3 linked regions of the Lytechinus pictus genome follow. The protein of the gene in region 1 purifies or fractionates together with the protein of each later gene. This does not show direct contact. Links are inferred from orthologs where the notes say so. Each region holds a gene or a part of one and is shown in the gene's direction. Other genes may lie near its edges. The genes, in order: forkhead box protein J1-B-like, F-box only protein 11-like and cyclin-dependent kinase 20-like.

Evidence for each region.
Region 2: the proteins of forkhead box protein J1-B-like (region 1) and F-box only protein 11-like purify together in Homo sapiens (affinity purification with mass spectrometry; 3 studies listed by BioGRID and IntAct, counting the BioPlex papers as one, with this or other methods). This does not show direct contact. The link is inferred for Lytechinus pictus from reciprocal best matches to the Homo sapiens genes FOXJ1 and FBXO11.
Region 3: the proteins of forkhead box protein J1-B-like (region 1) and cyclin-dependent kinase 20-like purify together in Homo sapiens (affinity purification with mass spectrometry; 3 studies listed by BioGRID and IntAct, counting the BioPlex papers as one, with this or other methods). This does not show direct contact. The link is inferred for Lytechinus pictus from reciprocal best matches to the Homo sapiens genes FOXJ1 and CDK20.

What each region holds. Positions count from the first base shown.
Region 1 is NC_087254.1:9,476,841-9,487,262, forward strand, and holds the start of forkhead box protein J1-B-like, read left to right. Parts: upstream 1-5,369; 5' UTR 5,370-5,741; intron 5,742-6,568; 5' UTR 6,569-6,636; coding exon 6,637-7,221; intron 7,222-10,422. UniProt on the Homo sapiens protein: Transcription factor specifically required for the formation of motile cilia. Acts by activating transcription of genes that mediate assembly of motile cilia, such as CFAP157.
Region 2 is NC_087251.1:42,373,059-42,384,025, reverse strand, and holds the start of F-box only protein 11-like, read left to right. Parts: upstream 1-6,749; 5' UTR 6,750-7,096; coding exon 7,097-7,133; intron 7,134-10,967. UniProt on the Homo sapiens protein: Substrate recognition component of a SCF (SKP1-CUL1-F-box protein) E3 ubiquitin-protein ligase complex which mediates the ubiquitination and subsequent proteasomal degradation of target proteins, such as DTL/CDT2, BCL6, SNAI1 and PRDM1/BLIMP1.
Region 3 is NC_087247.1:23,736,039-23,746,437, reverse strand, and holds the start of cyclin-dependent kinase 20-like, read left to right. Parts: upstream 1-6,316; 5' UTR 6,317-6,377; intron 6,378-10,399. UniProt on the Homo sapiens protein: Required for high-level Shh responses in the developing neural tube.

The sequences.
Region 1 (10,422 bases):
GCATGGTCGTAATACAAATTTTTGCGCTCCGAAATATTGTCAATTTTGTTTGTTCAATATAGTAGCTCTGAGCCAGTTTTATGGTTTTAAATACTTTCCAATGTTTTTTAAAACTTAAATACATTGCATATCATACGTATTTCAAGTTGTCAACATTATCGACCGCCCTTTCGTTATTTAGGCCATTTTCGGTCACAAATCGATATGTTCGCCCCCCCCCCATATTTTCATGGGTGCCACCGCCCCTTCCCACCCCCCGATCGAGAATATTTAAGAGGTCATTGCCTCCTAAGCAAACCGCGCTATCTTGATCCTTATTCATGCATTTCGCCTATACTTTCCGAAAGTATTGTTTAGCACCATTTTACGACTATCAATCTATGATGTCAGAGCTGTGACAAACAGGATACCAGACGATCTTTCTTTATATAATTGTATTCTTGGAACCATCGATAATTTACCTGTTCTAGTATCCGTAAACATGTTTGTATTGGTAGTATACAGTCTGTGGATCTACTTGTTTTTTATTTTGATTTTTTATTTGACTTATTTTTCTTCGACATAACAATATAATATAACATAAATTTATATTGACAATAAATCAGGCATATAATCACTGAACATAAAATCAGTAGCAGTTTATGGATTGCCATTGCAACCCCCAAAAAACGGTTGAAAATATGACAAACCGAAACATAATTCATTATATAATCATCTTACATGTCTTATGAGCACAATGGATTAATACGAATTACTAAAGTATCAACTAAGTATGAAGAAAGAAAATCAAACAAGCCAACACTTGCTATAATATATAATCAAGAGGAAAAACAATTATAATGAAAATAAAGATGAAGAAGATGATGATGACGACGACGACGATGATGGTGGTGGTGGTAATAATTATGATGATGGAAAAGGAATAGAACACAATTTTGACACAGAAAGTTTACCTTGCATATGACCTTAACTTTAGCTTTGAGTGTATGGAGCAAGAGGATTGTTAAAGGTGATAATGGTGATCGGGGGCAGCCAGGGGCGGATCCAGGATTTCCCAAAGGGTGGGGCAAATTTTTCGGAGAAAATTTTGACAAGCCAAAAAAAAAAATGTCTTCAATTTCAAAAGGGGGGCACATCTCGGTTTCAATGTCATTTTTACATTACATTTCCCCCTGTGCCCCCCTTGATCCGCGCCTGGGGGCAGCGCAAGAATTGTTTGTAATATGGGGCTAGACTTCCACAGTGAGACGTCATACATAATATAGTTACACGGCCCACACTGTTCATATCTTGCTCTCTGAATTTCCTCCTTTATGTCTTGAATACTCGAAAATCACAGGGGGGGGGGTGCGAGTAATCAGGGCGATCACCCCCTGCCCCCACCTGTGAAGCCGCCCCTGATGGCGATGATGGTACAATAATTATAATAGATGTGGTGTCCGAATTGGTTCTGGTGATAGTGCAGACCGTGCAGTATGTTAGACGTTTTGGATATTTTCAAGTTTGAACCTTCGATTGAGACCTGCACGGTCAAGAAATAAATCCTATGCTCACCTGACCTGTTGCCCTGTGAGATGGACCATGGACCTAATACATGGGTGGACCATGGTCCATTGATACCTCTAAAAGATCCATTTCAAAGTCTAATCTGGACATCTCATGTCTGACCTTTCTGTCCACCAAACGTTGATGCGCACTTTGAGTTGGTTTGTCATGGATTTGGATCATTGAACAATTTATTATTGACATGGAGTAAAGACAACGCTCCAAATTAAGAAAGAAAGATAGAAACAAATAAACAAAGAAACCAAACCGAATCCCGTCAGTACACGATGAATCTCAACAGGCCAAGACAAAGCTTCTCAAAGTGGCCAATCGATCCAGTGGGGAGGCCGAGTGGTGAGCCCCTTCCCCCCCCCCCCCCTAAAGAAAAAAGAGAGAGAGAAAAAAAAAGAAAAAGAGCTCAAAGGTCAATAGAACCGATTGGCCCCCAAGAAACGACAGGCAACAAGAAAAAGGGAACTGTAAAAAAAGGGGAACGCGGCAAGTTCCCCCTCCCAATCCGGATCCGCCTCAAGCATCACCATCTGGTATATTTCACTTTATCATGAATTTCAGAACATTCTTCTTTGTGGGAAAAAAATCGAGGTATGCATGAATCACGGATAAAGAGCTCCATTCAAATTCACTGATCTGAATCGAAATGAAACGACATAATCTGGACGTCACTAATTCCCTCTTCATAACACCCTCTTCTTAAACCTCAACAGGTCGATGGGTAAGGAGAAACGTATTGAGAGAAACACAATCCCTCTAAAACGACATACTTAAAAGCATTTTCAACACGTTCAAGATCATTCAATAATCAATAGGCTGACTTGATCCGCTATGTTGAAGCAAACCTATAGAAACGGGTGTCCATTAAAATGCCCTTTTATATGAGCTAAAAAGGAAACATGGAGACACTGCCCTGTCTTAAATTTTTATGCGTTCAAAAAGAATGAAGATAATGGCGGGATTTAAAGTTAACACGCTGGGGACTCCTTTGTATTTTAGAGGTTTTAACTTTTAAGTGACCCAGTTATTGTTACAGTATGTTTTGATTTTGAAGAAGGTGTCAGTTTTCATTAATACGCCATTGATTTTCCCCAGAAGCTCTTTAATCCTTTTATTTTCTCACCTGCATGGATCAAAGACTATGCAATTAAGATTGACGTCTTTCAAGTATAGTCGTTAGTCCTCGAGGAGTACACCCGGGGAGTACGCCTTACAAGGGACTCCGTTTTTTTTCTTCAAAGAGTGCAAAACGCTGTAACTCCTAACCACATTTCTATTTTACCAGGACAGTGTGTCAGAGTGTTGTGAACATGGCTAACACCGAATATGAAAAGGCGGACAGAAAGAGCCTCCTATGATAAAACGTTTCATCTCCCGAAATCTAAAGTGTATTTTTTTATTTAAATATCAATTGCACATTAATGTTGGGAGGAGTATCTGCATTGGGAAAGTGAAAAGGAATGAGAGAGGAAGGGGGGGGGGGGGGGGGGTGACAGAGTGCGCGAATAATATGTCAGTAGCGTAATGAGTAAAATGTGTATGGAGTATGGAGCAAAATTTCTAAAAGGTCACGGCAAGCGAAGCGAACGAGCAAAATGTTTGATAGGTTTAGACAATAAATTTAGAAAATAACACCATATTTTTATATCTTTTACCGGTTTGCTTCTCTTTGATTTTCTTATTCATTTTCTTGGGGTAAAACTTTTTTGGGGCCATGCCCCCAAGAACCCCCCCCCCCATCTATACGCCATACAGTGATTATTGTGCGATGGGAGGAGTTGAATTTACCTTGAGGCTCACATCTCTTTGGGATAAAGAAATCTATAAGAAAAAAGGGCTAATCGAAGAGAAGTCAGATGGTCCGAGGGGTGATGTAGAAAGTGGTCCCTTGAATGATTTTTTTTTTAATAAAACAGATTTAAAAAAAAGGTTGAAAATCAAATGCTTCATTGAAATCAATGAAAGAAAGCCCAGTCTCAACGCCACACCATTACATCTGGGTACTCTACACCCGAGTTAATACCTGCGCGAACTTGACCTTCTTGTTGCCTTTTCGACACCCAATCAATCTCGATGGATTCCTGGCTGAAAGTATCGAACAATGCCAATTCACTGATGAGAAAGGATAAGAGGAATCGCATCGATTGACATTGATGGCCCCGGCATTGACCCGGGACTGTGAGGTCAGTCAACCGATGATAATTAAGGTCAAAGTATTCGGTCTCAAAAGGAGCCTGGGTGATGAGGAAGAAGACGATGGATTAAACACGTATACACAGGTAATATTGGTTTGTTAATTAGGTCAAAGTTTTCGGTCTGAAAATGATATGGGTGAAGAATAAGATGACGGATTAAACACGTATCACCGCTAATATTGGTTTATATTCGCGTGGTCTACACTACCAGTTGGTATAATTTGTCAGATACCACATGACAAAACCTTCATTTGGTCTACTATCAATTTTGCTCTAATTGCCGTTTTGGTCTACACTACATCTGGTCTAATACTACTTGGTCTAATTCTCAATTAGTCTAATGCCCAATTGGTCAAATTTCCATTTCATCCGCTCATACATTTTCATTTACTTTGTCAAAGAAAAATTTGGTCCACAACAGTTGGTGTAACCACATAGGATAATTTGTAATGATGGTATTGATAGTAATGATGATGATGATGATAATAATATTAATAATAATAATGATTATGATAATAATGATGATGATGATAATAATAATGATAATGATACTAGATGATACAACCATTATAATAAAATGATAATATATCACAGATCTGTTTCTGTAAAGACGCAATATTTAGGTAGTGTTGAGCCTATTGAAGTAACACAGTTCATGAATTTGAAATAGTGATAATATTCAACAAGTTACCGTGTAGAATATAGGCCTCCGAAATAGATCGATTTGTCTTAGCAATCAACGCAATATTTTTTTATTACACATTCCAGCATTCTGGCAAACCGGTATATACTTCCACGCAGACAAAATACCAGAAAATAAAGAGCCGATAAATCTCATTAATATCAAGAGGGAATAATTGAATATCTGCCATATGATCTTAAAACTGAAATAAACTTCAGGATCCGCATTTTCTTATATTTGTTCGCCTTCTTCATCAAAAGGCAAGGTCCAATTGAATCAACATGCTGCTATTACACCACATGTACGAATTAAATTAGCCCTATACCAAACACAGATCTTTAATTATTTGTAGACTTCCTTGATTTCTTCTTCGCGTGAAATCTGTCAAACGGAATCAGCAAGTTTCTAGTCGTAGATAATATACGAGAATGAGAAACATTTTCACCATTTAAGGCTACAGCCTACGAGAAATCGCATTAATATTTTAATTTTTCCCCTGTGTAATAAATTTTTCGTTTATGAGATATCAATATCCTTAATGCGAGGTGGATGCAATGATGATGAGATGTAGTTTTCGACGAAAATGTAATTTTATATGTGAAATTATCTCTCCAGGTGCTATAAAATACAGGTTGAGATGCGGTGAACCACTGTCAACGATATTCTATTTTCAAGACCCCTCTGATTCCATCAAATCGTTGACCGCGATCAGATTTTTAACACAAGTTGTAATTCCCCCTTAAATTTTAATAAATTATAAATTTTTCATCATACTGAAAATATGAGATATCTCATTCTCTTGACAATATCCATCATTAGTGCGAAAAGTGATTTGTTTATCTTGGTTTTCAGGAATAGAGGTTGCCCATGCAAGACTAGGCAATCCACCCTGCGAAGCCATATTCTATGCTATACCACGGCGAGTCGACCAATCAGAAGCGCTCATTCGGTTGTTGATCACGATTTACTCTGTTGCTACGTGGCGACGCGATGCTCATTCACATGTTGATGTGTATTTTGATCCGTCGGACTTCAGTCGATCAGCTGTCCGCGTTCGCAATAGGACGCTTCTCGTAAATTCTCTCTCTGGCCAGCATAGCTTGACGTGCAACAGACTAGCCTTGCCTGTATTCCACACAACCTGTTGCACCATCGGGGCAACCACCATAACAAGTTGTTGTTTTGATACCCAGTTTTCTATATACATCGTACCTCATCTGTCAATGTGCCTGGATTTTTGTATCATTGCAATAAAAGGAAGCTATTTTATTTCATTTCATTACTTCACTTGGCTCTACTTCATTTCGGTGAGTTCTTGTATGACTGTGTTTTTATGTAATATTTATTATATTGACACCTAACATTCGTTAACATGTTTTCTATTTATTTTTGTTTACATGTGTTTACTTATTTAATCAATTGTTTCTCTAAGTATTATACCACCCATTTTTATATTGATATCGATGTTTTTCAGCTACATTTGATATTGCCCTTTTATTTCTTTATATATGGGGTTCGACATTTTATATTGAATTTCACATTAAACCATGGCAGAAGTTAAAGGTTTCCTAGATAGCTGGATTTCGTGATTTATATTTTTAGGGGAAGCCCCCGTTTCCATTGGCTTTATTGTGACGTCATTGCCTGGCCTAATATGGGGCCTGTCATGCGCGTACTTCGCGCAAAAAATGCATCTACGCACAAAAACTTCCGCTTTATCGTACGCGCTCAAAATGTAAACAAACTACACGTGCGCGCATCAAGTTTTGCATGAATTTATTCTGTAATTTGGCAATGATGGGCATGATGGCATGGGTTTCTTATCTGACTGACTTAACTCCGTTCTTTGATCTAGGTAATTTATTTTAATTTACATTCTTAAATCAAATCCAAATTAAATGATAATTAATAATGCTCATTATGTTGACATTTATCCACTCTAACGTAAGACAGGCTGGGGTCTGAAAAAATTTAGAAATCCGAATGCCTTAATTGTTGCTAATGCTATTCAGGGGCCGACGAGACATAACTCGAAAATCTAACTTTATTAATTTACTCTCGTAAAACATTTGCTTTATTCTTGATTTGTATTTCCATAAAGTTATCAAGTGTCTTTGGTGTCCATTTTTTACAGGAATTTGTGGGAATTAAATTGAAAATACGTCGACTCACTTGAACAAGAGGTCACAACCCCAATCCAAGATGGCGGCTGCCAAAGTTGCAACCATCACCATCCCCTTGCTCAGCTCCAAGGAGGCTGCTGTGAAATTCAAACAAAACTGGATCACCAAGAGCCAGCCCGTCGAACCCCCAAAGACAGAACCCAAAGAAGACAACCTCGACGACAGTCTCACGAGTCTGAACTGGTTGCAGAACCTCCGGATCATGCGCATCCAGCACCCCACCCCTCCAAGCAGCCCCACCCCGCTCTCCATCCAGAACAGCATCAAGAGTGCCCTGCAGATCCACAAGGGCGGCAATGGCGTCGTCAAGAGCTCGAACTCTCACAAGCACTCGCACTCCGAGATCAAGATCTCGAAGGTTTCGTCGTCACTCAACCACCTCCATCACAACCACCACCACCACCATCTCCATCAAAGTCACCTCCAATTGGACCAAAATACAGACTACAAGACGAACTCGAGCATTAAGCCACCATACTCCTACTCCACCATGATATGGATGGCCATGAAGGAGTCCAAGAAACATAAGATCACTCTGTCATCAATCTACAAATGGATTACGGAGAACTTCAAGTATTACCAAGTTGCAGACCCCAGTTGGCAGGTAAATATTGTGGAAAAGAGTGTTTCTTTTATTTTCTCATAGGATGGGTAGGGCGATGCCCGAATTAGGCAGATAAAAACATCATTTTTTGCTCTGGATTTTCTCTAACTTCATAGTACATTCAGTAGCAAGAATAATTGTGAACATCTCTTTTTATTAATATTCGATTTTCTTTCAATCGAGTTATGGAATATTGATCGCAAAGTTCCTAAACATTGACGTCTTGTCCATACACATAACCCGTCCGGACAAGCTTGATCTATTTGTGAGGTATAGTATTCAAATATGGTTGCAAGGAGTCAAATAAAGGACTTAATATATTTAGTCTTTGGCAAATACTGAATAGATTAAGTCTTTTCTTTAGATGAGTCTTTAACATTTGACTTTTGAGCTCTTGAGACAACGCATTTGTTATCTGAACTCGTAGATCTCAAGCGTAAATATACCTAGATAGAATCTGCCCTCTTTGGGGACTCGTATTCAGCATTGATGCATGTGTGAATAGCATTTTTTAAATACCACTCAACCACTTAACAAAACACATCCTGGAGTTCACGATTACCGTCTTGATCCTGTCAATACCCTGAAAACTTCTTGGAATTCGGGCTGTGGACGGAGGAATACGGGAGAAGAAGGGGAATAATAGACAAGGCGACATACAGGATGTGTCTAGATAGCAGAGTTGAAGGATGGGGTACATGTACCTAGAAAGAAAAGTGGTCAATTTCAGATTTTTGGTTATGAACATGATGTAGCGCATTAGCTACGAGAGAAATAATATATCAATATATCCTGAACGAAGTTTCAAAAGTTCTTTTAAGTGAAAACCTCCGTCACTGCAGTTAATGACACACGTACTAAAATGTGCATCGTGCCCCCCCCCCATCAACCCCCTTCCTACAATTCATGAAATGGCAAAACTTGTAGTTTTTACCATGTTTACCCGCCAAATCCAAAAAGCCTGAAACCGCCAAGCTAGTCAGTCCCCTGCAGTGAGCCTGGCAAGTTTGACCTCTTGGGGTCACAGCCAAGGAATGCAGACTTTTGATGGCGGGTTTATCGGGGGTTTATCTGTCTCGGGCCTCGAGGGTGTAATACCACACCAACCTCCATCCTTCCATCAAGGTCTGGTAGCTCAAGGTCAATGGTGGGTCAGTCTTAGGTCACTTTAAGGTCACCGGGGAGAATTTCTGCTTGGAGAGTGCCGTTTAGTCGTGTGATGTAGGCCTACTGTCAACCTTGCGTATTCCCAAAACTACAACTGAATCTTCCATTGTAAAACTATAAAACTACTTGACCATATATAATCAGAGGTTTTACTTGTAGCCCTACATTAATGAATAATGAATAAGTTTGGACATGCAGGCCATATTCATCTGATATTGGTTTCAATTTGAGAATTTTATCACAATTATTCATAAGTGGACAATTTTTGTTGTCACAAGAAATTGCATATGTACACGAATATTGGATTATATGCACTACTTTGACGGTGAATTTTAACAGAAATATATATATCTATAATTCAAGCTCTCGTGCGGAAGCAAAAAGCTTTTGGAATGGACGACTCTCATTGTGTACTCACACATCTACAGTTCAAATAGCTACAGGGGTGGCTGGCTTTGAAATAAAAGTGAATAAAATATGACTGTTGACGTCAGAAATGGGAGTCTAAAATGATTTATCAAACACTATTACTGGAGATGGCAGGTGAAAGCAACAGGCGAGGGAAATATAAGTTATATTCCATAAAAGGCGCTCGGGGTCATTTTTTGTTAAAACTGACCTTCGACGTGGACTGACCTAGATACTTGCTTGGCCATTACAGATCGTTGTATATCTGTGGAATTTATAGTTGAATATGAGCGCTAACATTAACAAGGACTTGGTATTTCTTTGATAGAATGGGTTTGAAATCGGTTCCAGCGTACAAATCGCTAGAAATTCAAAATGATCACCCTTCCTGGAAAAAGAAATCATTCTATCGTGGCACATGCAGGCCATTTGAATATTCTATTTTGGAGCAATTTTTGCTGGCATGTTGATGATTTAGTGCGATATCAATTACTGTTAATATGGTTTAAATTGTCTTTTTACAAATATAATTAGAGTGAATGTATTCACTTACCCGATGAATTTCGATCACCGATGAAGCATGAAAAATGGTTGGGCTTCGATCAGGTTAAAGGCAACCCTTGGCTTCGTTTGACGTTGACCTGAAGGATGTAACCGGAGATGAAATTGATGAGCAATGTATTATTGACTGCCACAGTTATCTTTTGTCATCTCGCTCACTAGCTCTGTATATGAACCTGTATCGATTCGAACCACTTTCATTGCGAATCATTCGCTATTTCATTTCTTATTATGAATCGAACAGACTTGCCAATGGCTGAAAGGGGGTCTATATTAATACAAAATTATTGATTGCATGTTCAATAATTTGTATATTATACACAAGAGAGTGAGCATGATTATAATTTATAAAGGACTCGTAAGTATGTCGTGTCAGAAATATTGATGTCCCTGACATTCTGGAAACAAAGGGGCAATAAATACCGTGAATAGGAGCATGCTCGGCATTTATGAATCTTGATTATTTCCAATGCTCTATCAATATAATACATGTCTCATAATAACAACAAAGAGGGATACCTGAAAAGGAAAGGTTGTGTATTGGTATTGTTTAATGGATTAGGGGAGTCCATGCGATATTATGATGGCAATTTCTAATGAAATGGAAGAACTTGGAATGAAATAACTGTTCGCCCTTTTCAGTGCATTTGGAAAGATAAATTTAAGGACCCCATTGGAAATAAGCCATCTCGGCTTTCATGGGTTATCCTGTCAAGGTATACACTTCTGTTCATATTTTCTTGTACTTGTTCATAGTTACCTGACAAATAAAATCAATCAATCAAATTTATTTTTGTGCATCAATCCCCGCATCAGTCATTGCGTGTAGGAAAAGAGACAGGGTCTTGTTACTGAAAATAACGAGTTTTGCACAGTTGTAAGGCTTTAATCTTTTTGGTAATCCGTGTTTACACTACAATTGCAGTAATGGTGCATGATGAAATATCCTTTGAGATGGCTGGAAATATGGGTCAATAGAAAGAACACACCATGGGCATGTTCTTACACGAATTGGAACCATAACGAAGCATCCACCCCCCCCCCCACACTCACTTCATCAATTGA
Region 2 (10,967 bases), on another chromosome or scaffold:
ACTTGTTTAGAGCACTTTCCATCTTGATTAGATTAGATCAGCCTGATTGCATATCTACTACTCCTGCTGCTGCTGCTGCCCAGGGGGGTCACTTCCATTGACGAGTGGATACCAGTCGCGACCAAAGAAACGTGTAAAAAGGATCTCTTTTTCAAGATTGGGCACATTACGTACGTAAAGTAATAAGAGTGTAAAAAACATTAAAATACTGAAAAAAAGTATATTTCGCTAGGAAAGCTCTGTGTTTACGGTCAAATATTCGATGTTATAAAAAGACAAATGCTTTATAAAGGATGTACTTTTTGCCCCAACATTACGTGTTTAGGGTCCGATATGAGCGAGGTGTGGGAGAACGGGCTGTACTAAAACCAATGTAAGTAAAGGTAAAGCCGACTTCCATGATCACGTCTGTCACTGTGACATAATAAAAATATCGCTGTACTTGTTTAGGGGGTCAATTCATGGAATAGTTGTCAACGGTACCGTTTTGTTTCCAATACTTGTTAAGCATAGGGTTTCACATGCCAATACTTGTTAAGGGGTACTTTTTCAGAATATGGAAAATATTTGTTTAGGGTGCTTTTCGAAACGCCATGGTCAATGGAAGTGCCCCCCCCCCCAATGCTGCTACATACTGCTAGTGCTACAACTACTACTGCTACTAGGCCTATACTAGTATTACTATATTACTACAGTGTACTATGACTACTGTAGGGACAGTGATTTTCCGTTTCAAAAAATTGCCTTTTCCGTTTTAGAAAATCGTAAATTCCGTTTCAGCATGTCAGAAAACGGAAATTCTGTTTCCCCATAGACTTTGTGTACATTAAAAAGTGACAATTCCGTTTACCCATTGAATAGCAATATCACAACACTCGCCCTGGTCAAAATTTGTATCTGCCACTGTACCAACAACGCAAATGAATCCGCTTTAATCGGATCTATGCAGCTACACAAAATGTTTTGACAAACACATTTAACATGAATACATCCTCACCTTTCACATTATTAGCATTATTTCACACTTAAATGAAATTTCATCGATAATTTTGGGGGTTTTTTTTTGGACATCGTTTTCAGCAGTCAACGATTTTCGCCTATCCGCCATTTTGGATTTCAAGATCTCGATATTGTGCGCTGTTACATCTTCAAACGTAGAGGGCAGCAACACACGACCTTGTTGTTCAAATGATGTGTGCATGTGAATGTTTTTTAAAAGCCCAACCCTGCCCGGCGCTCGGCCGGATACGGGGACGGGCGAGGGGTACGGTCGAGTGATGAAGTCGAGTGCAGTCACGATGTGTGAATTGTTATGATTGTAGCGAAGTGAGATCGTGTTTTCTGGGGTTTTGTGGCCATTTAATATTCATATTTTGTAGAGATTTTGGAGTAATTTCTGTCGCTGTTCTGTGTATTTTGAGGAAAAATATGTTTTCTGTGATTTTCCGTTTGAAATGCCACTTTCCGTTTCAAAAGGCCCTTTCCGTGAATTCCGTCCGTTTTCCGCGATCGCGGAAAATCACTGTCCCTACTACTATCCCTTCCTCCTACTACTACATGTACATGGGTTTATTTCCAATTGGTCTAATGCCAATTCGTCTAATTACCAACTCGTCTACTCTCATTTGGTCTCTCATCAATTTGTCCACTATCCACATGGTCTAAGTGCCATTTCATCCACTCACCATTTCATATATTAACCAGTTGGTCCATTAGATATTTAGTCCATAAACCATTTGGTCTAATTGGATTGGATAAGTGTTAACTGGGCGAAATAAATGTAAAGAAAATGGGTATTAGACGAAATGGCCATAGATGAAGTGGTGATAAGACAAAGTGATTATTCTACCAAATGGTTGTGAGAAGAACTGTTGGACGGAATGGCATTAGAATGACTAAAGGTAGACCATGTGATGAGTGGACAAGTTGGCAATGGACGAATCGGCAGTTTACCACCACCACCACCACCACCACCACCACCACCACCACCACCACCACTACTACTACTACTTACTACTACTACTTCTACTACTACTACTACTACTACTACTACTACTACTACTACTACTACTACTACTACTACTACTACTACTACTACTACTCCTATTACTACTACTTCTACTACTGCTACTCCTACTACTCCTACTACTACTACTACTACTACTACTACTACTACTACTACTACTACTACTACTACTACTACTACTACTACTACTACTACTACTACTACTACTACTACATGTACTTATACTACTACTACTACTACTACTACTACTACTACTACTACTACTACTACTACTACTACTACTACTACTTCTGCTGCTTCTACTGCTATACTACTATGACTACTACTACAACTACTTCTACTACTACTACTACTACTACTACTACTACTGCTACTACTACTACTACTACTACTACTATAACTTCTACTACTGCTGCTGCTGCTGCTATTACTATTTGGTAGTACTACTACTTATAAAATCTTTTCCAAGAGAGGCATAATACATATAGTTAATTTGATATACATACAGAAGCAAATACATGTACATTACTTCAGTGCAATTTTTAAAAGCCTTTCAACATTTTAAAGTCCCTTTACAGTATTCTTCAAGCAGTATACCCTGTGAAGTATGTTTGAAATGTCTCTTTTTTCGGCAGGGATCCACATTTTGCAGTGATTCTGTGTGCGTTGGCAGGAAACTGGCCATATTGGCGCCCGAGTATAATATCCTCTGTAATTTGTGGTACAGCCTCTGTGGGGCTAATGGGAAATGTATAGCTAGGCAACAAACTGTCAAGATAATACAGGATCAAGGCTGATAGAGGATCCGAGAGTTATAGCCTTATGTATTCTGTAACATGTCCGTGTGAAGAATGTATTTCTGTAAGAAGGAAGTCATACTGACATACATTTGGTGGATTTTTCTCCACTTCATGATCTCCTGAATACAAGTGCATGTGTGTAATGTATGTACATTATCATATATTCTAGTACAGTATTCTAAAATAGGCCGAGGTCTGCCTTAACTTAAAGAATATATTTGGTATCAAATGCCAATGTTAGTTTGATTTTAGTCATTAACTACCACGTAAATTATAAATATTCCCTTCTTTCTTGACTCTGAGAGATCTATTTCTTGAATTTGATTTCGATATACACGTTGGCCTGTATGGGAGTCTGGGACAAGATGACAATCTAATCTTGTAAATTTACGTGGGATTGTCATTTCTGCAGGCATGTATATCTTTTGGATTCATCAGAATCTCTGATGTAGACCTATGCTTTTAAGCTCCTTTTTGAAAAAAAAAATTGAATAAAGTCTTGGATGAATTTTAGGGTATTGCCGTTGAGCGTTTGTTCTTTAAAATTGTCACTAAAAATACTCAATAGCAATAGGACACACAAATGTTTGGCCCAAATACTTCAGCCCCTTTAAGCCATAGCTTGAATATAAGGGCATCTTAGAAATAATTATTTGAATCGAACCCTTCTCCTATAATAGTCTTAACATTTTCCATATAGATATACTAGAATTTGAAAACCTCAATTATTGATTCAATCTTTTCCACAAGAGTAGCTTCCCTTTAAAGATACAGCTATCGTTTAGATTATATTCAGACATTTTTTTTTGCAAGATGGCATGAGCCAGTAAAATGCAAATTCTAGTCATTAAACTAAGAGGGTTGTAAAGTTCACCCCTTGACTCATCATGACATGCAGATCCTTGCCTAAATTCCTTCCCTCCAGGGTCAACCTATGTATGAACAGATTGTGCCTTCAATGTACTCCTTGTGCAAAACATGTCGTCAGGATAAAGAACAGGTATATTTCAGCAGACATTTTATAAGACACTCCTTCTATATATGTACATGTAGTACATGTATATTGTCTAAAATGTCAGGATATACAACATATGTCTGTGTGCAGTATTGTGCCTACATTTACAGTGGTTATACTTTTTACCCATTTGTAGTTTTAGGCATGTATCGTTGAATGGAATTGTTTGTATTGGTATAATTTCAGCCTTCGACTGAAGAATAAAGTAAAATCATTAGAAAATGGTGAATATGAAAATACAATCTAGAAAGCCAGATTTAATGATAATGATATTTAAAAAAAGATTTGCACAGTATGAAAACACCATGGCTTGCTTTGAAAAAACTCTTTAGATATATGCAGAAGAAGACAGAAGGAAAGATAAAATATGGATATTTTAATGTAATCAGGAGGTGGTTTCAAACCGCCTCGATCACAAGAATCCCCGTTAAATTACGAGAACATTTTTAGGCTAAAAAATACCCGTTAATTATTCCTGCATTCAGACCGCCCCGAAACATACACTTCGGGATAAATTCCTGAAGTTAGGAGCATGCGCAGTATGGTCTAATAAGCAGGCAAGGCGCGAGATTCAAAACTACTAGCCCAGCAGCCACCCACGGCGCCGCACCCAACGACACGCTGGGCTAAAAGTTCCCGTAATTTGCTTTCACATCGCCAAAATACCTGCGACCTTGGAAAAATCCCCGCGAAAGTTCTCGTAATTTCGCCAAGTACCTACTATTTAGCGGGTATTTTCTTTCGGGGAAATTACGCGTAGTTTGCTTTCACATTACCAAAATACCTGGTATTTTCTGATCGGGGTAAATTTCCCGATCAGAGAATACCTGGAACTGACGAACTTCGAGGCAGTCTGAAACCACCTAGGGAAAAAATAAAATAGGGTCCAGGGAGGTTTTGCCCCCAAAGTGCTTGAAAGATTCCCAGGAAATCCCCCATTCACTGCAATGCTACATGTAAAGTTTATCTTTTTTTGTTGCATATTTAGGCAGTACCGTATGGGCACTAGTATTCAACCCGGCATAATTCAAAGATTTTGACATATTCCCCAAAATATTTAGAAATAGGGAATTTACCTTAATTTCATACCTTTGTTATTTCCAGGGTAATCTATCGTCGGTATTTTCTTTATCAATCTGTCGACTGTATGCGCGGAGGATCGAATTATGCGGCGATGGCCTTTTGCACTGAATGGCACTAGTATTCAACCTAGTGAGGATTGAAAGCAAATTTCAAAAGGGTTTAGATTGCTAAATTAGATCTAGATCTATGGAAGTCTCTGGCTTTGATTAATTCCCTGTTTGATCTCATCTCAAATGGTCTAGTCCATAGTCGGATGGGACAAGGGCAGATTGAAAGACAGGGCCATCTTTCATCACTAGGTTGAATACTAGTATCGACGGATTGAATACTAGTACCAAAACCGTCGCCGTAAAATTCGATCGCCTGCGCACGCAGTTGACGGTTGAAGAAAAAAATAACGGGAAAAGAATAACCAGCATTTGCTCTTGGAATAAGACAGGTCTGAAATTCAGGTAAATTCCATATTTCTGTATATTTGAAGAAACTCTCCAAACGGGTTGAATACTAGTGCCCTTACGGTAGTTGGTGAAAGAAGCACTGCAAAATTGAAAAAAAAAAATTGGCCTGATTGTAATGAAGGGGCATTCACATTTAATGGAAGGGCCTGCAGGTGAAGTTATTGGAATAAAGGTGGGTATTTCATTGCTTTATAAAATGATTCTAAAAATGAATGAGATAGAAATACTGTAGGGAGAAGGGTAATTACTGTGCTTAATTGGCTTATCTTGAACAGGGATAACGTGGCAAAGTTTGAAACTCGAGATCAGAGAAAATGAAGACAGTTCAGGGGGGGGAAAAAAAATTTAAGCTACATTTTGAACAATAAGGGATAGACAATTATGAAAAGTAGAATGAAAATAAGCGAAGGAGAAAGGAAGGAGACCGGATAAAGAAAAGGATCAAGAAAGGAGGAGAAAGCAGGAGAGGCATGTGAGGAGGGATATCTGACTATGAAGAGAGAGAGAGAGAGAGAGAGGAGTAAGTAATATAGGACATGAATAAATTGAACCTTACTGTTATTCCAATTTGATTTGAATGAAGAGGCTGTAAAAAGCCTGGTGAAAAGAGCCAGGGTTGTGTTTTGTTTACCCTGTACCTGTGACCCTATGTGACCCTACATACTTTCCGTGATATTGACCATGAAGATGGAATGAAGCAAGTTGTTCTGCTATGAAAGGTCTTTCTGCCGCTAGTCTGTTGGATCAGGCATATTTGTAACTAATAAAAAAAAAGAGATGTCAACACCTTACTAACTTTGGAAAGTTGAAGAGATGCATTTATTTAAAATTGAATTACAACGTACGAATTCTCTGAGTATTACAAGGTTAAGTACTTTCTGAAGATGTATGAAAAGGGAATAAATATTCAAGGGTATGCCACTTATTGAAATAAATAATTGATCGTGAACGAGCTCTGCTGCTGATGTGTGACTGTATCAGGGGAAAAGTTTCGAGGGGGCTTGGGCGATTTCGTCCTCGTAATGATCAAGAGAGCCCCAGAAAATCCTCATTCACTGCAATGTTAAAGCTTATCCAATGTTCCAGATTTTGGGAGCAGATTGTGAAAAGTAGCCTGCGTTTATTTTCTGGACTGTTCAGTGTAATGTTTTGCTCCTACGCAAACATTGTCCACATACATTATACAGTATACTTGACGTGTGAAATTTGTATACATGTAGGCCTTCCTAGAAATCCTATATAATTCTCAGTATTTTGGCTTACTTTTGCCCATACATATCATTCCAAGTCTTGATATTCCCCAAGTACAGACAAGGTTCAAGGCTTTCCAAACACTCAGTTCCCATTGGTCCTCTCTCATTGAAATCAAAACAGGTTTACTGCATACATATATATGTAGAATGGTGCGATGGTGTACATGAAAGGGGCAGAGAGACAGAGTTCTAAGTAAAAAATGGAACTCTCCTCATATGACCCTGTCTGGCACTTGTTCAGGAACCCTGTATTCACGCTGACTGCCTCTCTCTCTCCCTCACTCGGCGGCGGCGGCGAGCTTGGCTTTCATCCATTTTGAGTTGGATTTTTCTCTCTATTTCATGCATTACTTCTCATGACAGCGTACCTCTTGCACATATATAATGCCACTGGGTACACATGTACATTTTTGACAATCTCAGGTTTGGTTTTTGTTTGATCAACTCATCGAAGGAATGCAATGGGAAAATCATCTACTTCAGAGAAAACTGCTCGGGGTGAGTATAGTGACATGTACAGAGAGAGAGAGAGAGAGTATTAGTCAACTTTGATCTTGCGGCATTGAGTATTTGTGACAGATATATGGGGGCCCAGTGCACAGGGAATTTGTCTAGTACCTCTGCTTTAGTATCAATGATGGCATGCAAAAGCCCTAATGTATGCCAGAATATGGTTTCATTATTTTCATGTTTTAAAACGCTGTCATGTTGCATATGTGTGTACGCTAATGTACGTCAAATATGCGTGTAAGTCCATTATGGATAAACCCTGATTATACATGTAATATGTACATACATGTATTCAAAGCATAAATTATTCATTTGTAAACAAAACCTGATAGTTGCTTGGTATGTACATGTACATGTATGTATGTTGGGTTACATGAAGATGCTACATGTACATGTAAATGTACATGTAGGCCTACTTGGTTGGTATACATACGTGTAGCTCTAGCTATGCTTGTATTTTGTTTTTGTTTATTTTCCTATCGTTTTCCATCTGTAATCAAAGGTGAAATATATTTTGAAAAAAGTCCAATGTTGATAGATTTTCCATCTGTAATCAAAGGTGAAATATATTTTGAAAAAAGTCCAATGTTGATAGATTTCAAAATCCCAACAAAATTTATTCAATAAGTTCCCAACAACCACAGCACAAACGTAAACACAATGTGGTATAATCATAAAAAAGGATGCACTTCTGCAGATGTACTTCAGTGCATGTACATTACACAGCATCAGAACTTACTATCACTTGGAAATATTCTAATATACATCTACATCTAAAGATGGGAGTTGCTGCTACCCTGTTTGGCGTTCAACGATTAAAGGGATAGAGCCTCGTCGATCTGGCGCTGCACAGCGGCTGCCGGGCCCACGATCAATTGGGCAAAGCAAATTTTCGGACTATTTCATTTCATGTCTATTTCGAACAATAAATTATGGATTTTCATTTTCTCATTTTTTTACATGTATTACTATTAGTGTAGTGAGACAAATTGGTGGGAGGAGTCAATTCAGCAATTAAAAAGAAGTGGATTTTAGAATCGATATCTGTCATATTTTCAGAATGATTTAATCTCTGAAATTCATCAGAATGGAGGATATTAGAAAGGGTGGGGAGCGTTGCCAATCGTAATCTATAACATGTCAATGTTTGTGTGTCCATAGACTTGTAAAAGCTGTGATGAAAGGCATTCATGGCATTGATGCACCTCATTGCCAAGTATATTTTACTGTTGTCACGTCATATGTAATTGACATGCTCCAGTATAAATTCTCTAAATTTATACACCAAGTGTGAATGAAAATAAAGATTTTTTTTTTCAAATGTACAAATTTATTCCTATGTTGTGCAGGGCCGTATGAATTTTAATTTGAAATTTACATTTGCTACTGGTCAATTGAAAATAAGATACAAATGTCAGAAGCTCCTCCTATTTTCCAAGGTCGCAGGTATATGAGAACTTCCCTGGCCCAGCGTGTAGTTGGGTGCGGTCGCCGTGGGTGGCCGCTGAGCTAGCGATTTTGAATCTCGCGCCTTGCCTGCTTATTGGACCATATTGGGCATGCTTGTACATGTAACTTCGAGAACTTAAAAAGGATATTCTTGAGGACGTTGTGAATGCGGAAAATAATTATTGGGTATTTTAAGGCTTTAAAAGGTTCTCGTAATTAAACGGGTACTCTGGTGATTCAAGGGTGTCTAAATACGCCTAGTATAGACCAGTGCTTCAGTAAAGCCCCCAGCACACTTATTCGGAATCAGCAGGAATGAAGCAGAAGCTAGAACGAAAAAAATATTCCAAAATCTGGAAATTTTTGGGAGGAACTTATGAATTCACCAAACTGGAGTTGAAATTCAGTAAATTGACCAGGTGAATCATCATACACTAGTCAAAATGAACCGCAATGGAGTCAGATTGATAATTCGTGCTACATTCTTGGACATTCTAGGCGCTTTCTAAATATTCTGACTGCATTCTGAGTGCTTTCGAAATATTTTTGTCATTTCTTTTGGCCGTCCCGAAGGTTTTGGTCATGTTCAAAACATTCGAGGGGTATTTTCGAATGGTGTTCGAAGTATATTTAAATGACCAACTGGTGGTCGAACAATAGTCCTTTCATTCCGGCCAATTCTGCTTGATTCGGAATAAGTGTGATGGGGGCCTAAGCCCAGTCACATCTTTCAGATTGTGCAGTCAAAACATTTATTTCAATGTGTCGTAATGCATTGTTGTAACATTAGGCATCGCTGCCACATACCAATTGTAACAGCCTCTGTTAGAGCATCGCTAACAACGTTGCTGTGCGGTAGTTTGTAGCTGGCCCTTGTGTCAAATGACCTTTGCATTAAGATCAGGCAGAGGAGCCTAATGAATAGCAATCATTTCTCTTTTGAAAAGTGAATACTTCCACCCAAATCAACAATAGACTTCTCTCATAAGGAATTCCAATAAAATGGAAGCATCTGGAGACATGCTGTTCTATAATTGCGATATTGTACAAAATGTACATTTTCTTACAGTGTTGCATGTTTACACTTTGGCCTCCATGTAAAATTATAGGCCTATATTCAAATCAAAGGTCATCTTGAAATGACCACACATTGATATTATTATACAAATTATGATTTAATATACAGGTTGATTTGTGGATATTCATAAGCAACAAATAACAGTTCATCTTGAAAGGTACTTCTGGGCAAGCTGAAAAAAAGAAGGATATGATGAGTGAAGCTACACTGTACAAATATATTGCGGCAGTCATCCAAACCGTTGTATCGTGATACAACAGTGCGAAACACATTTCAGAGAAAATCTCAGAAACTAAAATAAATTGCTGCCTAGAAATTTACTTATACTTTAGGATTTGTATTACCTGCAAAAATCTCAAAATCATTTTTTAAAACCAAAATTGACTGATATGACGGTTTGGACGAACACCGACAATATGTAGGCTACATGCCTTTGTCATTGATTCACGGTAATAGCATCCTTTGTCCTGATTGGAGTGAAGCAGTGAAACTCATGTGTGAATGTTGATTAGGAAGCCAATCTACATAAGTGCTATTCAGTTAGTTACACTTGCTGAGCTTTCTTTGTGTCTAGTCCCACCTACACCTGCCTGTGTGTGGCTATTAAATCTACATACTGTTATCATTTATAGGCCTATAGTGCTTTGCCATGTCCTACCTAGGCTAAATGTACATACCTCTTATAAATAATACCCTTCCCGATCACTAATACTTGTTGATAAACATCGATGTATATTAAAGCACTATTAGTATGTTTAAAACTTGGTTTTATTTTGCAAAAGCAAATATATTTAAAATCCTTGAGATTTTTTTTCCATATTTAAAAAAGTACAGTATTGGGTAAATTTTTCGAATTAATAGGCTACAGTATTTGTGTGAAAGAAAAAAATAAGTGTAGACTTGTGGTGGGAAAATACTGGCATATCTTTAATTTCAATCTGTACTAGTTATTAGGCCTAGATGTAATACATGTAAGTTGATAATTAATTCAATTCAGAGCCAAGTATAATTGATTTAGAAGTAAACATTTCTTTCACTTGTTTTGAAGTCTTGATATCAATATTACCAGTAAAAATATCAATTTTACCATACTTGTCTTGTAGGCACCATTGTACATGTGTGTGGTTGACTTACATTTAGCTATTAAACACATCTATCTAGGCCTTTTTTCTCGTTTGAAGTTAATCAATGCTGTTTGTGTTTTTACATGTTTTTTTTTTATACTTCAAAATAATTACCGGTAAATGACCTACATTTATTGTTTTAACGCAAGTAACGGGAATACATGTATTCCT
Region 3 (10,399 bases), on another chromosome or scaffold:
TTGAACTTTTAAAAATGTGGTTTTCTTTTTAAAACCCAGATACGGCCCGCCAAGTGACGTTTTGGTATCCCCTTTTCAAATTGTTTTTGCTCACTCATGCGTGAATGAGAAATAATCTAAGTAATTTCGGATGAAAGAAGAGATTCTAAGCTTTAAAATGGTAGGTCATTTGTCTATTGTATTTGCGATTAAGTTATGATAAATCATCGATAAATCTCGGTTTCGTTTTTTGTGGGACGCACTGTATAACTTTCTACCCCGGCCCACACTGAAAGTCATTGTGACCTTTGAAAAAAACGATGTCAAATGGCTCAATTTGCCCCATCTTTGGGGTAAATTGTGCCACCTTTTGGGGTAAGTTGAGCTACAAAAACTATGTACAAAATGTATGCGGGAAGAACCAGCATTTTTTATTTAAATTTTTTCACTTGCTAATTCTCTATGAATACTAACATCCTCTAAAAGTAAAAGAACTGTCATGTGAATTTGCTGCTATCTGCCTGCGTAGCAATGGCTTTTTAAGGTTTGTTTGTTTTTTATTATATACCGTAATAATGAATATGGCTCAACTTGCCCCATGTTGGCTGGCTCAAATTACCCCAGTCCGAACTTAATGCGATATTTTCACATCCACACATGTCTTATGCATATGTCATGTAAAAGACTATGACAAGAATGAGAATCCATACCTGGACTAACAATATTGTTCTTATTTCTTACTCAAATTTAAAGACATGTGCGGGTAAAAAGCACTTATCTATTTCACACCCTTTTTTACTTTTTTGGCTTAAATTTGTATTTTCCCTCTAAAAATGTATTTTTGTCTAAATTTTTATTTAAAATCACATTTTCTTTCATGAAGACATAGACTAATAATTATATGCTACATGTTTCATATTTTGAGGACTGTTTCAAGGGAATTAACATAATGATAACACAGCGCATATAGTGAGATATTTTTGTATTATGCGCTTTATAATAAATTAATCTTTATTTAATTTCATTTCGTTTATTCCCCTTCCAACACTTATAATCTATTTCAGACATTTGATATACAAATTAAAGCAGGAAACATAATAGCGGATTTCTATGTACAATAATTTTAATCAAAATTATAAACAGGTTGGGTTGACGTGGCTGAGAAAGTAGAGCTTGTAGGGTGCAGCCTCCTAATAAAAAATATTCTTGTAGATAGTATAGAAAAACAAAATAAAATGACATCTTGAGCATAACGCCATTTAAAAAAAAAAAAAGGGAAATGAAATGAAAATAGCGAGATCCGTTATCATTATTATAACTATGAGAAAATCACGTGCAGCCTAAGTTGTCCCTCTCACTTGTTTTATAATTCATTTACCAAATTGCCAATTTGAAATTTACATAGTCTTAGTGACCTCATTTTGAATCTTTTAATCTACCTTTAACTTTTTTTTACATTTCTCACTATTACCTTTCAGGATTGAAAGTTAGGCCTACAGGAGTGAAGATTAAAAAAGATCACGAACTATTCCTTGACAAAATATAAAATTTATGGGCCGTAAATGCAAACACCTTCAGTTCAATAGTTTAATACCTCGGTCACATTTACTCTATGGCGGCCCTAACGGCGAGTCGAAAACAGCAGTTTTGACATTTTTAGTACCAGCTATATAGTGGTTTCCATAAAAATTAATAAAACGGCTGTTTTCGACTCGCCGTATGGCCGCCGTAGAGCAAATGTCAGGGGCCGCTGAACGGTTTTCAAAGTGGGGGGGCTGAGCCAAAAGTGGGGGGCTGACCATGTACAAAATCACAATCGTATGGTCATTTTTGTGTTTTTGTACACGATTTTGGAAAAAAGTGGGGGGGCTGAAGCCCCCCCCCCCCCCCCCCCCGCTTCCGCGGCCCCTGAATGTGACCGAGGTATAACATGCAGAGTTCAGAATAATGGTCATTATTTTCAAACTTATGTATATCGAATTGAATTCCAAATTTTTGGAAACAATCAATTTCATTTTCTGGCTCTAAACTTTATAAAATTATCTATCATGTGATATGAAAACATCCCCACTCGCAAAATATTTAGCACTTTATCAACAAATAATGTAAGAATATAGTTCATTAGATATATATAGATAGGCCTACTGCCAAAACAAACAATTTCTGCATAAAGATTTTGTAAATAATGAAGATGCATTTTCTGTAAATAGGGTGAATACGTTCGTTGAAGATGACTGCAATTGTCTGTATCAGAAATAAGTAGAATGTGATGTACAAATATTGTGATTCACTTTAAATTATTGTTTATGCTATGATAAGGAATTTGCTGTTCCTTAGCATATAACTTACCAATCTGATTATAATAACGCATATTTAAATCTGTCATTGAACCCAACATACCATCATGTTCGTATACAAGTTACGGTAGTATTGTTCCATTTTCTACCTCCCCTCACTTCTACCATGTCTACCCAAACTCAGTCTCTCTCTCTCTCTCTCTCTCTCTCTATATATATGTATATATCTTCTATCTCTCTTTCTACCCTACTGCTCGATATTGCTCGTTTTGACTATTCCATATAGCATATTATTGTATAATGTATTTTTCCAATTCTCTCTTCCTCGATCCTATCTATCTAATTCTTTTTCGTTTATTTTACTCTTCCCCTCTCTCACTTCTTCTTTCCCTCTATCTCTCATTATCTCTCTCTATCTTACTGTGTACCATGTGAATGCATCCATCGTAATTGTTTGAATTTATTTGTAATATATTTTAGATATTTAAGGTTATAATCATTATATTACTGTATCGAATAGTAATATAATAATGTATTATGATTATAATGTATAATGTACTCTGATTTATGTATCATGTAATAATGTAAATTTAACATGCCGACCAACCTAATAGGTTGCCGGGCCTGGTTCTTGTTATTCTTGATCTTTAATAAGGACATGATGTACTACTATATTGGGCTACCCTCCATTAGCATTTTACATTTATTTTAGATACAATTACCAAATGTTTATAGTTCATAATAATGTTTTATATAAGTGTACGTGAGAGTAAGCATTGGTATTATATTCAATTCAGTATAATCATGAACGGAATATACACTCAAAATTTTTGTTCGACGTAGTGTTTGATGAAAGGACAAATCCCATTTCATCCGACAGTTGCCATAGCAACAGTGCTTCTCAATTTCTCAGCCAATCAAAATCAAGAAATTTGTCAGATCTGAAAACTTATGAAACATCAAAATGCCGATGAAAATGCTTTCTTGGAATCAACAGGAGTTAATATACTAAATATTCAGATTTGTTTGAATGAGAAATCCATGATCGATTTTTATTTGTTTGAGGTTTAAAATGTAATAGAAATAAATGAACGAATGAATAGATTATTGAATAAATAACTGAATAGACAGATAAATAAATAAATACATGAATAATTAAATGAAAAACAAACATACAAACATAAAAGATGAATAAAGCAGTAATAATGTTTGTATGTGAAGCTTTTCATTAATAAGATAAATCAATAAAAAATACGTCGATGATGTGGTAACCATTGTTCTGTGTTTAATTCTAACTTAATTCTTTACCAAAAAAAATTATGTTGCATCATGTGCAATAGAGTACTTGTGAAGAGAACGTGCAACTTGGCGATATGTTGGTTTTATAAGAGCAGGAAAATTAAAGAAAAACAAGTATATCTTCGAAAAACATCCATTAGGAATAAGAGAGGAATGAATTTTTTTGAATTTTTATTTCGTGACGTCATATGTGAGCAGCTCATCCGTATATCATGTTATGTAAATTATTTTTTAATGGAAAATGATGGGTTAAAAATATTTTTTCCAATAGAAGGGGGTATAAACTAATGTTTGATTTGATTTATTTATACACGGTAAAAAGCCCTCGATCATCCAATGGCTGGTTTTCAGAGAGGCCGTGCAATATACAAACAATACAAAGAATAAGAAATCATAACAAAGTAAACTAAGTAAAACAAAAATCTATATACAAAACCAAAGAGGGGGATGAAACGAACAAAAACAAAATCAAAACAGAAAAACAGAAACCCAAAAACACAATTGTAACAAATTAAAAAAAAGTTTGGTAAAAAAAAAGGATAATCAAGATTTCAGGACTTTTTCAATTTCAGAAATAATGAAGCGAGAGGACATTTTCCTTGAATTTTTTGTTCAAGTTAAAAATGTCACGCTTTATTCAAACTATTTAAGCATAATGTTTCGGATGATGTATCCACCCCCTTAATTAATTTTTTTTCTCTCTTTTTTTTTAAATGGCATTTTTGGAATTTGGATCACACGAAAGGTGCTCAGTCTATGACGTCATAAACTCAGAACTTTAAATATTCATTCTTTTTTCTTTATTTTTTTTCTGCTTTATTAAAGGGATGCTCCAGGCTGAAAATAATATGATTTAAACAGATAAAGAAAAATCAGACAAACAAAACACAAAAAAATTGATTGAAATCGGTCAAGGAATAACAAAGTTCTGGCATTTTAAAGGGATGGTCCAGGCTGGAGATATTTATATCTCAATCAATATAGTAAAATTCACATAGCAAAATGCTGAAAATTTGATCAAAATCGGATTACAGATAACAAAGTTATTGAAATTTAAAGACTTTGCATTATTCCGGTGAGACAGTTCTCAGCACATCTTTATGAATATTCATTAGGTGGGATGATGATGTCATATCCCCACTTGTTCTTTTGTATTTTATTATATGAAAATAGGTTTATTGACAACTGATTATGTGCATTATTTATTTATTGCCGCAACTTATTTTCTCATACTGGAAACACATCATTTACACGATTTTGATACAATTTTCAGCATTTTGCTTTGTGAATTTTACTTTTTTTTTATCTAGATATAAACATTTCAGCCTGGACCATCCCTTTAAAGATTGGCATTATTCCGGTGAAACAATTCTAGACATGTCTTCATGAATATTCAATGAGCAAATTGATGATGTCATGTCCCCCACTTGTTCTTTTGTATCTTATTATATGAAATTTAGTTTATTCAATTTTTTTCTATAATACCAAGAACTGATAAATATGGATTGACAACTGATTTAGTGCATTAAATTCATTGCTGCAACTTATTATTCAATTATAGAGGAGACACATTATTTACACATGTTTGACAAAATTAAACAATTATGATTTCATGTAATAAAATAAGAAAAGGGAAAGTGGGGATGTGACATCATCAGTCCACCTAATGAATATTCATGATGACGTGCATCCAACTATTTTCACAAAATAATGCTTAATTTTAAAATTAAATAACTTCGTTATCTGTTATCCGACTTATTGATGAAATTTTCAACATTTTGCTTTGTGAATTTTACTCTATTTTTTATATAAATATTTTCAGCCCTGAGTACCCCTTTAAAAGCAACTTTTACTAAGGGGGGGGGGGGCACTTGGAAGGTGAGACCGCATGCCCGTTTACAAATACACATAAAGGCCATGGAAAGAGTTGTTTTCCACTGTTTTGGCGATGCATCGTGTGTACAGTGAAAATAGTATCATAATCAGCCGAAAAGGTGCATCATTTTATAGTTAGGATATAGGCCGGGATATTCTATCAATAAAAAGATTTACGGTAAAGATATTCTGAGATCCCGTGCTCGGCTAGGAGTAGGAGAAGGCCAAGAGTGTGTGTGAGAGAGGGAGAGAGAGCGTTAGAATGAGTGGGAAATCATCGTAAAAAGAATGAATGTATAAGACTAAAAATAAACCCAATTGGTAGGAAATCGGTCCCTTATTCGACTGGTTTTTTTTTCTTTGACATACATTGACAGGGATCGGAAGTCGGAGACCCCCCCCCCCCCCCGGCCCGTGATTTTCTCCGTCAGTACGGTATGTGCACCTGACATGAAAAAGGGCATGCAGTGTGAATGGAATGTAGATATGAGGCTTTTAATCTGATTACATCTTGGACTTGTATTTTTTTTCAGAGTCTTTCCTCAATTTTCAATTTGAAGAAAATTTATATGAAAAATCGTTCGCGAACCTGCGTCCGTGAATTCAACTACAAATAATAAATTGAATCGAACTGATCAATGGGTCGGAAATTACGATAATCCTAACGGTTCGTATTCATGAATATTCACGAGGAGTAGTCTGAGTAAAAAAAAAACCCACGTAGTTATCGTTATTCCATGGACTGCCCTCTCGCAAAGGGTGCACAAGTACTGACAAAAAAAGAAAGAAAGAAAGAAAAAAGAAGAAAAAAAAATCCCCCGGCCACATCAGTGATCCCACCCCGAGAAATTGATGATGCCATAAGCCCTCTACGTTCGCTGAATTAGAGAACTGATGCTTGGCGTCGCGTAATTCGTAAACAAAAATGTAAGTCAGATGTTTTGTCGTCGTTTCTTCACTTATAGTTTAATTTGATCTCCCGAATATTCTCTCTATCTTTACTCATAAAGAGGCATATACAGCACAGGGTAGTCATTCTGACATTATGATTATGCTGCATGCTGGGGATTTGTATATCGGTTGTTAGTGTTACAAGTTAAACGTGTTCCCACATACAAGTTTAATCTGTGTAGTCATTTGTATGCCCTTTAAAAATTTATGTAGTCTCAATGTAGAGTAACGTTACGTGCCCAATATTCGACATGTTAAGCTTTTCTGCAATATTTTTCATTCTAAAATTTCTTTTCACAAAATGATATTTGGACCAAGGTTTGTTAAATATAGACCCTATTATTTGTCTTATGTTAATAAATAATATGCAATGCCAATGGCAATGACAATGTTCATTTTCAATTTCAAATTCCAAAAATCTTGAAATGTAGGCCGATCGCCATTTTTGCATGCTTCATGGCCCAAGATTCGACATCCCCTGCCAATCAAGAGTTCATTACATGCCGCCGCGCACAAAAAAATCAAGTTATAGAAGTCTGCTGTTGTGGATGCCAGAATTAAGGAGCTTTCGATTGACTGCAACGTAGTCCTAGTTCACCGGAAGTGGTGACACCGCTCGTTCAGTATAACGTTCGTACATTGTAGTATTGATGAAAACAGTAGGGTGTCTGGAGAAAAAAATTATTTTTCTTATTTCTAGAAAATATCACATTTTCTTTGTGAATTTGAAGAGAAATTACCTTCAGACTGACAGAAATGTAACATTTTTGAAAAAAATCAAATTATTGGCTGCAAAAAAGAAGAATGAAATTAGGTCAATTTTCAGCATTTCTCTGCCATAGACTGTGTAGTTAAGAAATGGACACACACAAATCCAAATTTTTAGCTTCCGAGAGCTGTTATAAATTTATTACTAATGCCAAAAACTTGTCCATAAAGAGTCCAATAGGATTTTTTATGCTCTATCTGATGGTATGATTTTTATAAAGATTTGGAAACCAGATCACAATGAAAAATTGCGACAAAGTGAAAAAAATTGTGCAAAACAGAAATTTCATTTTCCCATAGAAAACGCATGGAGAAATGGCAATCTCAACACACACAAAAATAAGGGTTTGCAATTTATCTCTAAATCCTTATTTAAAATAATCATATAAACTTGTCCTTACTGTCAAAAGAAGCCCCTGAATTTTCTCTTCCCATACATGCCAAACACAAGTTAATAATCAATTCAGATCACATTTTTCTAGTAGCCTGAACTTCCCCGAAAAAATGTGCCATATTTTCCCCTAAATCAGCCTGTTTTATGCTGACACTTTTCAGTGTGGCTTCAGACACCCTAAAAACAGTTTCGATTTTAAGTCGACATACCCGTACCAGGCCACAGCATATACCAGCGTGATAGCGAGCGGGCCGTGGGCCGATGCTCGGCCGGAGAATCAGGCGTAGCATCACGCTACGAACCAGTGGGGCGACTGTGGGTGCAACATTTGTACTCGTGCGCAAAAAGCCGAAAAAACACAGTTGTTTGGAAACAGAACATCAATTACCTATCGTCGGATATGTAGTGTCTGAAAACAGGACACACTAAATGTAATGGAAAAGCTGGTAACAAGCAGTAATTTGCAGTTTACCAGCCCTGCTGAATCAACGAAACTTGAATGTTGATGCGGCTTCATTCATTTTTGCTAAGCCTGGATGACGTCATCATGTACGAACTAGCACTCGTTCGAGCACTATGACACTGAACGTCAAAACCCTCAAATACGAGTCACAGATTTGGGCAGTGAACGAGGAGGCTCGTCACAGATTACTTCGCGCATACGCAGCGCTCCCAAAATTCCTTAATCTTGTACGTCCACATGGCTCGTCACAGAAAACGAAAGGTCTCCAGTGGCGTTGCAGCACGCGCGACCCACTAGTTAGAAATCCACTCACCACTGCCAAACACGGTTCTTGCCCCGAATTCTGCCTGGCCCTGCCATTCGCTCGACATAGCACATCACGCGTTCAATAATCAATACATGTGAGAGCCGCTGAATTGCGCTGCACCGCATGCGATGGGCAACCTAAAAGTTGCAGCGGTCATTCGCTCCTGCATTGCAATCGGGGCCCGCGCCCCTGTCGAATGAAGGCGACCTGCAAGCATGCCATGACTTGATTTCTGTGCAATTTTGATACCGTTGAATTTTCTTCTTACTTTCTTTTTTGATTGGAAATTTTGAAGATACGATCCTAAATTTGCGAGAAAGTTATCGTACTCGGAACAGAACCAAGGATTTCTTCACATTTTTGGCGCAGTTTTCTGCGACCCTGTTTCTTAAATCTGAGCTAAGCCGCCGCTTAATATTCAACATTTGTACCACAGAAATACACATAATTTTTATTTGATCCAATTATTGTATTTTTGTTTTGGTCTTTAAGTATCTGATATTTGGGCACTTTATTGCATTACAGGTAAAATTTTTGAATAAATATCTATGTATTTGTATTTACATTGGTGGTTGAAAGTCTGACTACTCTGGCAGCTGAGCTTTCTTCAACCTTATTGAGATTCCAACGACCCTAGAGTGAAGCCCGGGGGGGGGGGCACTCGACCAAAAAAGTAGTGGGTATGTGCTGCGGGCGATACAAAAAACGGGGGCCTTGGAGCGGGCTTATTGTAAAAAGGAGGGTCCTGGGAACGGGCTTCGGAACGACAAATGTTTGTGAAAACGGGGGTCCTTGAAACGGGTCGCCTGCGTGTGATTGCGTATTAATCCCTATGGACGTGCATGCAGCTAGCCCGGCGGCACTGGCGCCGGGTGCGCTAGCGCAGATGCGATGGTTGGACAGCGCTCTGCGGCCGCTTTTCACCCAAATTGCGGCTCATTGTAGCAGATCAATACGGCTGGAACGTCGTAACGGAAAATATGCGAAGCTGTGGAGCGGATTTCTTCTTTTTTCTCGATAAGAAGAAAATGCTATACTTTGGAGCGGCTTTCTTTGTTCTTTTTCTCAATAAGACAAAAATGCTATGCCTTGGAACGGAAATTTGAGTGTAAAAATGGGGGTCCCCTCCGCGGCATATACCCACTATGCATCATATACTGAGTGCCCCCCCCCCCCCCCCCCCCGGAGTGAAGTGTCTGTCTGGCACTGTCTGCACTGCAGCTACCCATTCTGTGTTTGAAATATCACTTATTTAACAAAAAATAATCAATAAAATTCATTTATGAACTGTTTATTTCTTTCATTATTATGAGAATATTTCTAATTTACCACAGACTGAAAATGAAAGAGTCGGAGTGTTTGAATTAAAATTTTGAGCTTATTTGTGGGGCACTGTGTTGATGAAAGTGTTGTGGGAATAAAAAAAACATGGCCCATAAACTCTCTTTGTAATAAAAAAAAACTAAAGAATTAAATTTGACAAGCCACCTTATCCAGTGTTTATGGTTGATCTTGTCCTCAGTAACTTGTGTGTGGTGAAATAATAAGGTGGTTCAGTTCTTGAGGATGATATGCATGTATTAAGAGTGAGCCTGAAAGGAGGTTTTTTTTGTTGTCTCGTGTGCATAGCAGAGCGAGACTATAGGCGCCGCTTTTCCAATGGCGGTGGCGGCATCAACATCAAATCTTAACCTAAGGTAAGGTTAAGTTTTTGAAATGACACAACTTAGAAAGTATATGGACCTAGTTCATGAAACTCGGACATAAGGGTAATCAAGTATTACTGAACATCCTGTCCTGTTTTCAGGTCACATGACCAAGGTCAAAAGTCATTCAGGGTCAATGAACTTTTGGGGAATCAATATCAAAATCTTAACCTAAGGTTAAGTTTTTGAAATGTCATCATAACTTAGAAAGTATATGGACCTAGTGCATGAAATAGAGGTAGTGAAGTATTACTTAACATCATGCCCAAGTTTCAGGTCACATGACCAAGGTCAAAGGTAATTTAGCTGAACATCCTTTGCAATTTTCAGGTCACATGACCAAGGTCAAAGGTCATTTAG